Arabidopsis thaliana: one gene and its partner. The protein of the gene in region 1 interacts with the protein of each later gene in a pairwise test. Each region holds a gene or a part of one and is shown in the gene's direction. Other genes may lie near its edges. The genes, in order: AT2G23200 and ABCB25.

Region 1 (4,919 bases):
TCACACAAGCTCAACGGCTTTTTATCTGTCCGTAAAGATGAGATCCGACACTTGTTATTGCGCCTCTCAAAAAACTCGCAACATGTATGTGAGCTTCTTCTACATATCAAAACATTTTACTTAGCCAGAAAATATTATAACCTATTGATTTGTGATAGTGCCGTCACTGTTTCATTATATAGGTTTATACTTGGCCATGTGCATGTGCAAAATGTAGATTGTAGACGCCAAAAATATTCTATACCAAATGAAGATTGTGAAGTATGATTTTGAAAGTTTGAGGATTAATCATTTGTTTATGTGATTATAATTAAAATCAGGGTTTTGCAAAGGTTGAGATGAGACAATTGTTTTATGATTTGACTATCAACAACATTCTTCGAATGGTGGCTGGGAAACGATTTTATGGAGAGGGGACAGAACAAGATGAAGTTGCGCGGCGAGTGACACAACTGATTGACGAGATTGTGTACAGGGCTGGCGTTGGGAATGCAGCCGATTATATACCGATTTTGCGTTGGATCACAGATTTTGAGAAAGGGGTCAAGGAGTTGGCGAGTCGGGTCGATGAGTTTTTGCAGAGTCTGGTGGATGAGAGACGTGTGCATAAACAAAAGGGTAACACTATGATGGATCACTTGCTTTCTCTCCAAGAAACTCAGCCTGATTACTATACAGATGTCACTCTTAAAGGAATCATAATTGTAAGTTTGAGGAATTCATATACTATATGTAACAACACTAATCAAACTTTATGATAGCTTATTATTGATTTTAAGTTTACAGGTTATGATACTTGCCGGGACTGAAACATTAGCAGGGACTTTAGAATGGGCGATGCTTAATTTGTTGAACCATCCAGAAGTATTAGAGAAAGCGAGGACCGAAATCGATACCGAAGTCGGTTTTGACCGGTTAATGGATGAAGCTGATACTAAAAATCTGCCTTATCTCCAATGGATTGTGTTGGAGACCTTACGTCTTTACCCGGTAGCTCCAACAAATATTCCACACATGACGTCAGATGATTGCATATTGGCAGGATACGACGTTCCACGTGGGTCGATGTTATTGGTGAACGTATGGTCCATGCATAGAGACCCGTCTATATGGGAAGCCCCAGAAATGTTCAAGCCAGAGAGGTTCAAAAATGAAAAGCTTAATCAGAAGTTGTTGTCGTTTGGGTTTGGACGACGAGCTTGTCCCGGGGTTGGCCTAGCTCATCGGTTAATGAGCTTGGCTCTTGGATCGATGGTTCAGTGTTTCGAATGGCAGAGAATTGGTGAAGAATATGTAGACACTAGAGAAGAACCTATGGCCATGATGCGTCCTGCGACACCGTTGCTAGCCATGTGTAAAGCTCGTCCCATTGTCCATAAGTTTCTCGATGCTTTTGCTTGAAGTGTAACTCTTCTTTCCTTGACTTGGGAATAAAATATGTAGTAAAAAAACTTATCATGTCAAAAAATCTAATAGTATAGACTGACCGTTTACTAGGTCAGTGTTGGGGAGCCAAAGGTAAAAAGATTAGAGAGTGATTGTTTCTCACGGGACAAAAGACGATGACTTCAAAAGTCAACTCCAGTCTTCTTTCTTTTTGTTCCACCAATAATTTCAATTCTCTATTTCTCCTTCAATCTCATCTTCTTCCTCAATCCAGTCTTCACATAGACCACACATGTTTTTTCATCCATTGACCTCAAAGACTTGACTTTCTCTCTTTCTCCTTCTCTGCATCAAAGCTATGGAGAATTTCTGTTTTCAAGACTCTGTTTCTCTATTTATCACGATCATGGTTCTTGTTCTTCTCCCCCGTCTCAGTCTTTCTGATACTTCGACGTACACCCGTCCTGAGAATTTTTACGTCAACTGTGGATCGGATTCTAATGTATTTTATGGTGGCCAGACCTTCGTCGGAGATACCAACTCGAGTACTAACTCAGTTTCCTTCACCAACAAAGGAACTGAAGTCATCAACGACCAATCGTCCGTTGCGCCTGAAATATACCGGACGGTTAGGATATTTAGACACCCTTCTTCTTACAAGTTCAAACTTGATTCTCTGGGTCTGCACTTTGTGCGTCTCCATTTCTCTGTTGTGTTTTCTCGGGCAGATCTTTTAACTGCTCGGTTCACTGTCTCTGCTACCTCTGGTTCTAATCATCACTTGAAAAGTTTCTCGCCTCAGAATCTCACTAATACCCCACGAGTTGAAGAGTTTCTCCTGATGATGAACTCGCTGGAGTTCGAAATTCGATTTGTGCCCGATCATTCCTCTTTAGCTCTCATCAATGCCATCGAAGTGTTCTCTGCTCCTGATGACCTCGAAATCCCATCAGCTTCCGATAAGAATCTGCATACGATTTACAGATTAAACGTAGGAGGCGAGAAAATCACTCCGGATAATGATACCTTGGGACGAACTTGGCTGCCTGACGATGATGACTTTCTCTACCGAAAAGATTCAGCGAGGAACATTAATTCAACACAAACGCCTAACTACGTGGGAGGGTTAAGTTCAGCCACGGACTCCACTGCTCCTGATTTCGTCTACAAGACAGCTAAAGCAATGAACCGTAGCTCGAATGAGCAGGTGGGGATGTTGATGAATGTTACATGGTCGTTCAAGGTCAAAAGTAACCATAGACACTTCATCAGGATTCATTTTTCTGATATTTTGAGCAACTTATCAAACTCCGACTCCGATTTCTATCTCTTTGTAAATGGGTATTGGCGAGTAGATGTAAAGCCTTCAGAGCAGCCTAGGTTGGCGAGTCCGTTTTTTAAGGATGTCGTGAATGTCTCTGATGGTTCTGGACTCTTGAATATCAGTATAGGTACCAAGGAGGCCAATAAGGATGCTGGTTTTCTGAATGGTCTGGAGATGATGGAGGTTTTGAGTAAATCTGGTTCTGATTATTCAAATAGAAGCAGTTCCCGGGTTCACATCATCACTGGTTGTGCTGTTGCTGCTGCTGCTGCATCAGCTTTGGTCTTCAGTTTGCTGTTTATGGTATTCTTGAAGCGGAGGAGATCGAAGAAGACTAAGCCAGAGGTTGAGGGCACTGTATGGTCTCCTTTGCCATTGCACAGAGGTGGGAGTTCAGACAATAGACCTATCTCTCAATACCACAACTCCCCATTACGCAACCTACACTTAGGCTTAACGATTCCCTTCACAGACATTCTAAGCGCTACAAACAACTTCGACGAGCAGTTGTTGATCGGGAAAGGCGGGTTTGGCTACGTTTACAAAGCTATTCTTCCCGATGGAACCAAAGCCGCTATCAAACGAGGCAAAACCGGCTCAGGACAAGGGATCTTAGAGTTTCAAACCGAGATTCAAGTCCTCTCAAGAATCCGACATAGACACCTCGTCTCGCTAACGGGATACTGCGAAGAAAACTCCGAAATGATCCTCGTCTACGAGTTTATGGAGAAAGGTACACTCAAAGAACATCTATACGGCTCGAATCTACCTTCATTAACATGGAAACAAAGACTAGAGATATGCATTGGAGCAGCTAGAGGTTTAGATTATCTCCACAGTAGTGGCTCAGAAGGAGCAATCATTCACAGAGACGTCAAATCAACAAACATATTACTAGACGAGCACAATATAGCAAAAGTCGCAGATTTCGGATTATCGAAAATTCATAATCAAGATGAAAGCAATATCAGCATAAACATCAAAGGAACATTCGGTTACTTGGATCCAGAATATCTCCAAACACATAAATTAACAGAGAAATCAGATGTTTACGCATTCGGAGTCGTCCTCCTCGAGGTACTGTTCGCGAGACCAGCTATAGATCCTTATCTTCCTCACGAAGAAGTGAATCTATCGGAATGGGTGATGTTCTGCAAATCAAAAGGTACAATCGATGAGATCTTAGATCCGAGTTTGATAGGTCAAATTGAGACGAATTCGTTGAAGAAATTCATGGAAATTGCTGAGAAATGTTTGAAAGAGTATGGAGATGAGAGACCGAGTATGAGGGATGTGATTTGGGATCTTGAGTATGTTCTTCAGCTACAGATGATGACGAATCGTCGAGAGGCTCATGAAGAAGATAGTACGGCGATTAATTCCGGTGGTTCGTTGGTTGCTCCGAGGTTGATGGTGAGTGATTCGTTTAGTACGAACTCGATATTTCAGAATGGTGATGAATCGAAGAACAGATTTGGATTTACAGATTCATCGGAGACTCGAGTTTTTTCGCAGTTGAAGATCTCTGATGCAAGATGATGAAATCTTTCGCAATTGTGTGTAAAATTATAATTTTTTCGAAATGTGAAGTTTCTAGCAGTATCTGGTTCAATTTCAAAATTTAATATCCGGTTATTTCCGGTTAATAGATAATCACAGTCCGTCTATAGGGTATTTCGAAGGCTAAACACTATTTTGGTGTTAAAATTACATCATTTTTAACGATTTTGATGTCGTTGATGAACAAGTCCAAATTACGAGCGAGGGATCCACCAGGCGCCATCGCCGATCTCGTCGCTTGCTTCAACTCCGCCGCTCTCCTCCTCATATCCGCAGCGTCGGTACCCTTTGTCACGGCGTCAATGCATCTCTCCACCTCAGCAACCTTAAGCTCTCCATCGACGACATCGTTCTTCATCCGTACTCCGATTCCAAACACATCAACAAGCAATCTCGCGTCAAGCGGCTGATCAAACCAAGTCGGATACGCCACCATCGGAACACCACTCACCACCGTCTCGATCGTCGAGTTCCATCCACAATGAGTGACAAAACAAGAGATCGCCATATGGCATAGTATCTTCTCTTGTTGACCCCATTCAATAACAACTCCTTGACCTTCTTCAACCATATCTTCCAAAACGTCAACGTTTTCGGCCTTCTCCTTTGGCCGTATCACCCATAGAAATGGAACTCCTCTGTTTTTTAA
Region 2 (7,841 bases), on another chromosome or scaffold:
TTGTTTGAACGTCTCCGTTACTTCGGTGAGCGTGAATTAGTGCAAGACTTCTGGCTTGTCATTGAGCCTAAATTCCTTGACAATTTCCCCAAAATTACTCAAAGACTTCGTCGTCCTGCTGTTGCTCTTGTTTCCACCAATGGCACCTGGATCACGTTAGAACCCTAATCCCAATCTCTCTCTTTTCAAAATTACGTTCCTCACTCCCTCCTTATCTAACGCATTTGTGTTTTGCAATTTGTTGTTTTATGGCAGGTTTATGAAGTTAAGATTGGATCGTGTTCTGTATGATTCCTTTGAAGCTACCTCTCTTGATGAAGCTTTGGCCTCCAATCCTACCACTCTTGAGTTCGATAAGCCTAAAAATTGGGTGGCGCCATACCCCAAGTATGAACCTGGATGGTGGGATACCTTCTTGCCTAAAGTAACCCAAGAATCTGCAGTATAGAACTTTGCTTTTTGTCTTGTTTTTGCATTCTCCAATCTCAGCTTTGTCTTAGTGCTTCAAAGTTTTGTACTACTGAGCTCATTATCCAAGTCTATATCTTTCCTAGTGTAGCTTCTATTACTCAAAGTTGCCTGTTTGATACGTCACTGACTCAAGGTTAAGCATAGAACTAGACAACAAAAAGCATCCTCACATTTAGCTCCATCAAAGTCTTAAGGGTGACCATATTTGTTGATTTCTCACGAGAATATTGGCAAGAACCTTCAGTTAAAGCTCTAGGTATTAAGTTGTCTAGTCACAGGAGGGCAATATGCCTACTCGCTGAAGAACTTTGCAAAAGATCTGAATTTTTTGGTTTTCAAAACGATTTGTGGACTCGGAACATGTTGTTACTCGTTAGGTCTAGTGACTGGAGTTGATCAAAGTAAGTTGCACATGTTTCTGCTGAATCAAGTGTTCTATGTTGTACTTCTGGATTGCTCTGTAGTCTGTATCTAAGCGTGTCCTATCAATCTTACTGATTATACATACTTTTATTTGTGACAAAGCAGAGTCAGAAATTATCTTTAACTACTCCATGGGAATATACTACCAAGTTACAAATACAGATTTTAACTTTTACTATGGGATGAGTATTGCTACACTTGCGGGAGATGCATTCATGAAAAACTATACACTGGTAGCTCCACTTGTGCCATTAAGTTACTCTTGTGCAGCTAGATTTGCAATTTCTGCTAGAGGCTTCCACACGAACTTTCTCCTGCAGGGGAATTGGTAATGGTCATGCAAATTGCAAACATAGATGATTAGTGTGTATGGTAAGGAATGATATACTCACCAGTTGCCACATTCAGCAATAACCCTGACGTTAGGACGAAGAGAGGGAAGTAAAGCGAGAAATTGAAGCTCCGATTTTGAGAGGACCTGAGTGAAATGGAAATATGAGAAAGAGCATGTGGGAGAACAGATCAAATGAGAGAAACTCAAACCTTTGCTTCGAGGACCCATACAACAAGACCCTTGGCACTAGGGGGAAGAGCAGCGAGCCTGTAATCAACTTCTGGTGGATAATACCATCTTGCTATAGGTTGTTTCCCAAGATGAGCCTAAAAGAAGAGAAGATACATGGTTCACACAAAATTATATTGAAACAAGATTAAAGTAGAAGATGGATGAAAGTAGACATACAGGGCAAACAGGGTAGTTCTTGAGAAGGGTAGTCTCAGGGTCACCAAGGCCACGAGCAGAGATGTCAAGAAAGTAGTAGCCCTGCATTTTGAGACGGTTAAGATAACGACCTTCGTAACCACCCTCATGAGGAGCGTAAATGGCGATTGCCTTGTGTTCTTCCACGTCTTGAAGCCATTGTCCGATGTCCGGCTTCACCAAGTCACCTCCGATGTAGTCAGCTATGCTGCTACATTTCACACCAGTGCTTCTTCTTCTCTTACTCCTAGTATTCACCAAAAAGGAACCAACTGTTTTGATCTTCTTCACTTGCGAGGCTTCAAAACACGGTGGTGCCACACGTTGTATACATATTGCACGGCTTCCCATTTCTTTACTAACAATGACTTCTTGTGGAAGTAGCTCATAATAAACATTGCTTGACGACGATGATGATGAAAGAATGGTGGAGAAACGACGACTCACTCCACAAAGGGATAGACATTAATGGGCTTAAAATGTATTGGGCTTTATTTATTAGGCCCATTAAGCACCGCCGAACGTCGTGACATTGTTAGCTAGCTCGCCGGAGCAAAATTCAGTCTGTGAAACTTTCGGAGAAGAAGGGATGTCGAGAGGATCTCGATTCGTTAGGGCTCCTGGGCTCTTACTCTGTCGCGTTAATCTTCAACCTCAACCCAAAATCCCATCTTTTTCCTACAGTCTTCGCTCTGATTATCGTCTTCATAATGGTTTCTCCAATTACATCAGACGTAACTCAATTCGAACATCTCCGGTTATCAATGCCTTCCTCTCAGATAACTCACCATCCCCGTCACCATCACCATCCCCAATTCGTTTTGTTCAACGGAGTTCAATGCTTAATGGTCGTCTCTTCTCGACTTCTACTCCCAATCCAGACCAAACCACCACCAAGACTAAGGAAATCAAGACAACCTCGTCGGATTCAGACTCAGCTATGGCTGACATGAAGATTCTCCGTACGCTTGCTGGCTATTTGTGGATGAGAGACAATCCAGAATTCCGTTTCAGGGTCATCGCTGCTTTGGGTTTTCTCGTGGGTGCTAAGGTCTTGAATGTCCAAGTCCCTTTCCTCTTCAAATTAGCTGTTGATTGGCTTGCTTCAGCTACCGGTACTGGAGCCTCACTTACCACCTTCGCTGCTACAAACCCAACTCTTCTTACTGTTTTTGCTACTCCTGCTGCTGTTCTCATTGGATACGGGATTGCTCGGACGGGTTCTTCTGCTTTTAATGGTAACTCTCAATAGCTCTAGTTTTCTTTAAAAAAGAATGCACTTTTCACTCTTGGTTGTTACTTTTCATCATCGCAGAACTTCGTACTGCTGTGTTCTCTAAGGTAGCTCTCCGAACAATACGATCTGTTTCTAGAAAGGTATGCTGCTGCTGCTCTAAACTATCTTGTCGATAGAGATATTTTAATGTATGAATCAATTTCATATGGTCGCTTTGCAGGTGTTCTCACATTTACATGATCTTGACCTTCGTTACCACCTAAGGTATCTATCTCTCCTCTCTTACTCTTGTGAGTAGTCTCGCTCATTCCATCTTAGATTCATCTCATCATAACTTCCTTACTTAATTGCTTATGTCCAGTCGAGAAACAGGCGGCTTGAACAGGATTATTGATCGTGGTAGCCGTGCAATAAATTTTATCCTCTCAGCTATGGTTTTCAATGTTGTTCCTACCATATTGGAGGTAAAGCTTGTCTGACCACTTGGTGCTTTCTCATGATCATTGTTTTTTTTCTCATTTTGAATAATTGGCAGTTGCTCATTCATATTTGGATTTCACTATTCATTCGTCTCTAAAAACACTCGACGTAATTAATATGTATCTTTCAGATATCTATGGTATCAGGTATACTGGCATACAAGTTTGGAGCTGCTTTTGCCTGGATTACTTCTCTCTCCGTTGGATCATATATCGTTTTCACATTAGCTGTGACACAGGTACTGTGCCTTTTTCGGTATTCTCTTTTCAATGCCAACTATAATGCAATACTTGCGTTATTATCATGATAATCCAGCAATAACTGTGATATTTTATTTAAGAAACTACTATAGTATACATTGTTCTGGAATTCGTTACTAAGCTTCTCTAATCTTAACTGTATCAACTCTTTGGATCGGCTTAAATCATTCTAGTTGTGATATTAGGTTTGATGATGTATAGAAGGATAGTTGTCTTCATACATTCTCTTCAACTTTCATTATCTTGTTACAAATCTTTTTGGTGTCAAACGCTTTGCTCACGGTTTTATTTATTTTATCCAGTGGCGAACCAAGTTTAGAAAGGCTATGAACAAAGCTGATAATGATGCTAGCACAAGGGCCATTGATTCTCTGATAAATTATGAGGTAAATTTTTAATCTTAATCATTTTGCTTGACTTGCAGTTTTGACAGAATTTCTTTTTCGTTTCAGACTGTCAAATATTTTAACAATGAAGGTTATGAGGCTGAAAAGTATGACCAGTTCCTGAAAAGTAAGTAACTCTACTAGCTGTTTAGATGAAAACATTTATCTTAATTTCCAAAAAAAAAGAGAAAATTCTCCAGTTTTAGTTTGAGCAAGAATAGTAGCAACAAGCCAACAAGTAACAAATGTAGATCAGAAAATGCGCTGATGACTCTTTTTACATCTTTATTTACACGTTCTTTTTCTAGGAAGAAAACCGATTGATATTTTACCATAATATATTATTGCTCCGTCCATTTACCTTAATTTATCTTGTGACGATTCTGCTGCTTATCCCAGAATATGAAGATGCTGCCCTGCAAACTCAAAGAAGTCTTGCTTTCTTAAACTTTGGACAAAGTATCATATTTAGTACAGCTTTATCAACAGCAATGGTGTTGTGCTCTCAGGGTATCATGAATGGCCAGATGACAGTCGGTGATTTGGTCAGTGCGTCCTTTGATTTTTCCTTGACATTGGTATTTTATGTTTCTCTGCATTTTTTATCCAAATTGTTTTCTAATAAGCTTTTGCATATTTGGGTGATGCAGGTTATGGTGAATGGACTTCTCTTTCAGCTGTCTCTTCCTCTAAATTTTTTGGGTAGTGTTTACCGTGAAACAATTCAGAGCCTTGTGGACATGAAATCAATGTTCCAGTTGCTAGAGGTATGTGAGGATGTTATAATTGTTTCTTTAAACTCTGCATTTGGTTAAGTTTCTTAAACACTTTTTTTTTTATGATAATGCTTTAAATGCATGCTTTTTAGTATGCACTCCTGGCATGTTGAATTGATTATGTGGTATTCTCTTACTGTTTCAGGAGAAATCTGACATCACAAATACAAGTGACGCAAAGCCTCTTGTACTGAAAGGTGGAAACATTGAGTTTGAAAATGTACACTTCAGGTAGGTGTTGATTTTAGTGGAACATTACTGTCATACTAATCGTTGGAGCCATAGTATCTTGGGTATGAAAGTGTGTTAAGATTAATATGAGTAATTAACTCAAATTTTATTTAACTTATGAACTCAATACACCCCAGAAAGTCTTTACTAATTAGCTTTGTTGAGCTTATCAAAGTGGCAAATTATAAGACATTGCATGATTTGGATATCAGCTTCATGTTGTGGCTGAAGACGAAGGGGGTTAATAACTTATGTCTATTGCCACATCATCTTTCTCTTTTTCTACAATTACAGTTACCTTCCAGAGAGAAAAATATTAGATGGAATTTCCTTTGTCGTACCGGCAGGAAAAAGTGTGGCAATCGTTGGTACTAGCGGGAGCGGTAATTCCTAAACCTCTTCTGTTTAAGCATCTAAGTTCTGTGTAAATTTGTTATTCTGGTATACTGTTGCAAATCTTATTATTTGTTCTATGGCAGGCAAGTCAACAATTCTTAGGATGCTATTCAGATTCTTCGACACAGATTCCGGAAATGTAAGCATTTTTTTTGTTTGTGAAATGTGGGGTCTTGTTTGGAAGCATTGTAGCAACGAAAGTACACCCTGCTGCAGAGAAATTTAGTGAAGAAAATGCTTGGTATCTAGATAACATCTTTTTTGTCATGTTGGTTAACAGATAAGGATTGACGGGCAAGATATAAAGGAAGTGAGACTAGATAGCCTCCGAAGCTCCATAGGAGTTGTGCCGCAAGATACTGTAAGTTGGCATTTCTCTACTTCTCATCGTGAGGCTTTTTGTTATATACACCACTATGACCTGCATTCATTTGTTTCTCGCCTTTCTTCTCATTGTAACTTCTCTGGTCATGCTAGACACTTGATTTTTTTTATGTTTTTTTTCACTTTTCTTCTCTTTTATTTTTCATATGTATCATTGTTAGCTTTTGTGAAGGTATAGCACTCCAAGTTTTGTTGTTCTCAAGGGTAATCTCTACTGCACTGCAGGTTCTCTTCAATGACACAATATTTCACAACATACATTATGGACGTCTCTCAGCTACAGAAGAAGAGGTACCAGTCAACTTATACTTGGTGGAAATGTCAAGTTTAATATCAATAATCCTCATCTAACATAAATTTTCAATCCAGGTGTATGAGGCTGCTCGGCGTGCTGCAATTCATGAAACAATCAGTAATTTCCCTGATAAATATTCCACGATCGTTGGGGAAAGGGGGCTCAAGGTCAGTATTTTGATGTTATATCTGGAATGCATGATTGAGTTATGGGGAGTTAGTCACCCGTCGTTTTTGTCATTGTCATAATCAAAGTAAAACAAGCTAAGTCAATCAGGCTTCCAAGTCAAAGTTCACCTGTTGAAAACTTGATGAAGAATATGATCTAATAAACTAGTTTCGCAGGACTGTAACAATCATGAAAAATAAAAGATTTAACTGATTGAGGTTTTCTATATAATGGCAAAGAGTAGCATTGATGAGTGACCATCCTGAGTTTGAGTAGAGTCATATATTGATGGGGTTTTTGTATTGTGATAACCATGGAGTGGTGTTGTGTGCAGTTGAGTGGTGGAGAGAAACAAAGAGTGGCACTTGCTCGGACATTTTTGAAATCCCCTGCGATTCTGTAAGTAACTTTGCACAGAAGCAGCATTGAGTTTACTTATGTGATTATGTACGTGTCTAGTCCTCACATACATAGAGATGGTTGGTGTACACAGGTTGTGTGATGAGGCAACGAGTGCGCTGGACAGCACAACAGAGGCAGAGATACTGAACGCACTCAAGGCACTAGCGAGTAACAGGACATCTATCTTCATTGCCCACAGGCTGACCACTGCGATGCAATGTGACGAGGTTTGTAGTAAATAGTGTTTGTCAACTTAGCTCAAAGAAACAATGTTTTTGCATAACTGAAACTTTTGGTTGCGGGCAGATCGTAGTACTGGAAAACGGGAAGGTGGTGGAACAAGGCCCCCACGACGAGCTATTGGGAAAATCAGGGAGATATGCGCAGCTATGGACACAACAAAACAGCAGCGTGGATATGCTTGATGCAGCTATCAAATTGGAATAGTGAACCTCAGAGCCAAATGTGTAAAATTTATATTTATCTCATTGATTTTCTATGGAGCTTATATAGTTAATAGAGTCCCAAAGAACACAAAACAAAGGGAATAATAAATAGTGGTGAATGATATAATTTTAACACGAGTTTTTGTTGAGCAAGTAAACTTACGATAAAAAAATGATCAATTTTATTAGTTAAAGCCCAAATAGGCCCAACTAGTTATTAATTAATTAACAAGAAGAAGTCCGTGATTTCGAAATTCAAACGAAGCGCCATTTCTTTCTCCTCCTAGGAAACTCTGCAATGGCCATGGCCTATGAGGAAGCTCGCAAGCTCCGTCTTCAAGAGAATCACAAGCGATTTCAAGTTACCCTTCATCGTTACCGCGTTTCTTCTTCTCCTCCTTCTCTGATTCGTTTATCAATTTTGATTATTGAATCTCAGGATTTAGGAATTTCCCAGATTTCTAAGACTCTGACTCAGATTACAAAGAAAACGCCTCAGGTTTCGTGTTTTTTCCTTCCATTTCTGCTTCATTCCTAGTCCAATTTTGTAGCTTTACCACAATTTCAGCTTCTTCAGCAGCGTAATCACAAACCCATCGATAAAGCCCTCTTAGCTACTGCTGAACCAAGACGCTCTTCCCGTGTTCGTACCGTAATTTCTTCCTATCGCGATGATGTAATTTTCCCAGCTTTCTCTTACTTCTGTAATAGATTTTTCACAGCAAT

The links.
Region 2: the proteins of AT2G23200 (region 1) and ABCB25 interact in a protein complementation assay, tested with the Arabidopsis thaliana proteins (one large-scale study listed by BioGRID).

The regions. Positions count from the first base shown.
Region 1 is NC_003071.7:9,877,607-9,882,525, forward strand, and holds AT2G23200 (Protein kinase superfamily protein), read left to right. Parts: upstream 1-1,668; 5' UTR 1,669-1,744; coding exon 1,745-4,249; 3' UTR 4,250-4,318; downstream 4,319-4,919. Other genes in the region: CYP81D7 (cytochrome P450, family 81, subfamily D, polypeptide 7), read left to right, coding at 1-84, 321-704, 787-1,401.
Region 2 is NC_003076.8:23,559,925-23,567,765, forward strand, and holds ABCB25 (ABC transporter of the mitochondrion 3), read left to right. Parts: upstream 1-2,005; 5' UTR 2,006-2,243; coding exon 2,244-2,892; intron 2,893-2,969; coding exon 2,970-3,031; intron 3,032-3,111; coding exon 3,112-3,155; intron 3,156-3,252; coding exon 3,253-3,355; intron 3,356-3,501; coding exon 3,502-3,609; intron 3,610-3,933; coding exon 3,934-4,017; intron 4,018-4,083; coding exon 4,084-4,144; intron 4,145-4,416; coding exon 4,417-4,562; intron 4,563-4,667; coding exon 4,668-4,784; intron 4,785-4,938; coding exon 4,939-5,024; intron 5,025-5,318; coding exon 5,319-5,407; intron 5,408-5,503; coding exon 5,504-5,559; intron 5,560-5,700; coding exon 5,701-5,781; intron 5,782-6,029; coding exon 6,030-6,095; intron 6,096-6,173; coding exon 6,174-6,266; intron 6,267-6,601; coding exon 6,602-6,666; intron 6,667-6,760; coding exon 6,761-6,896; intron 6,897-6,975; coding exon 6,976-7,116; 3' UTR 7,117-7,320; downstream 7,321-7,841. Other genes in the region: EMB3143 (YCF54), read left to right, coding at 1-155, 256-448; NdhN (oxidoreductases, acting on NADH or NADPH, quinone or similar compound as acceptor), read right to left, coding at 1,151-1,208, 1,287-1,372, 1,438-1,554, 1,637-2,005; AT5G58280 (AP2/B3-like transcriptional factor family protein), read left to right, coding at 7,414-7,614, 7,693-7,791. UniProt on the Arabidopsis thaliana protein: Performs an essential function in the generation of cytoplasmic iron-sulfur proteins by mediating export of Fe/S cluster precursors synthesized by NFS1 and other mitochondrial proteins. Not required for mitochondrial and plastid Fe-S enzymes.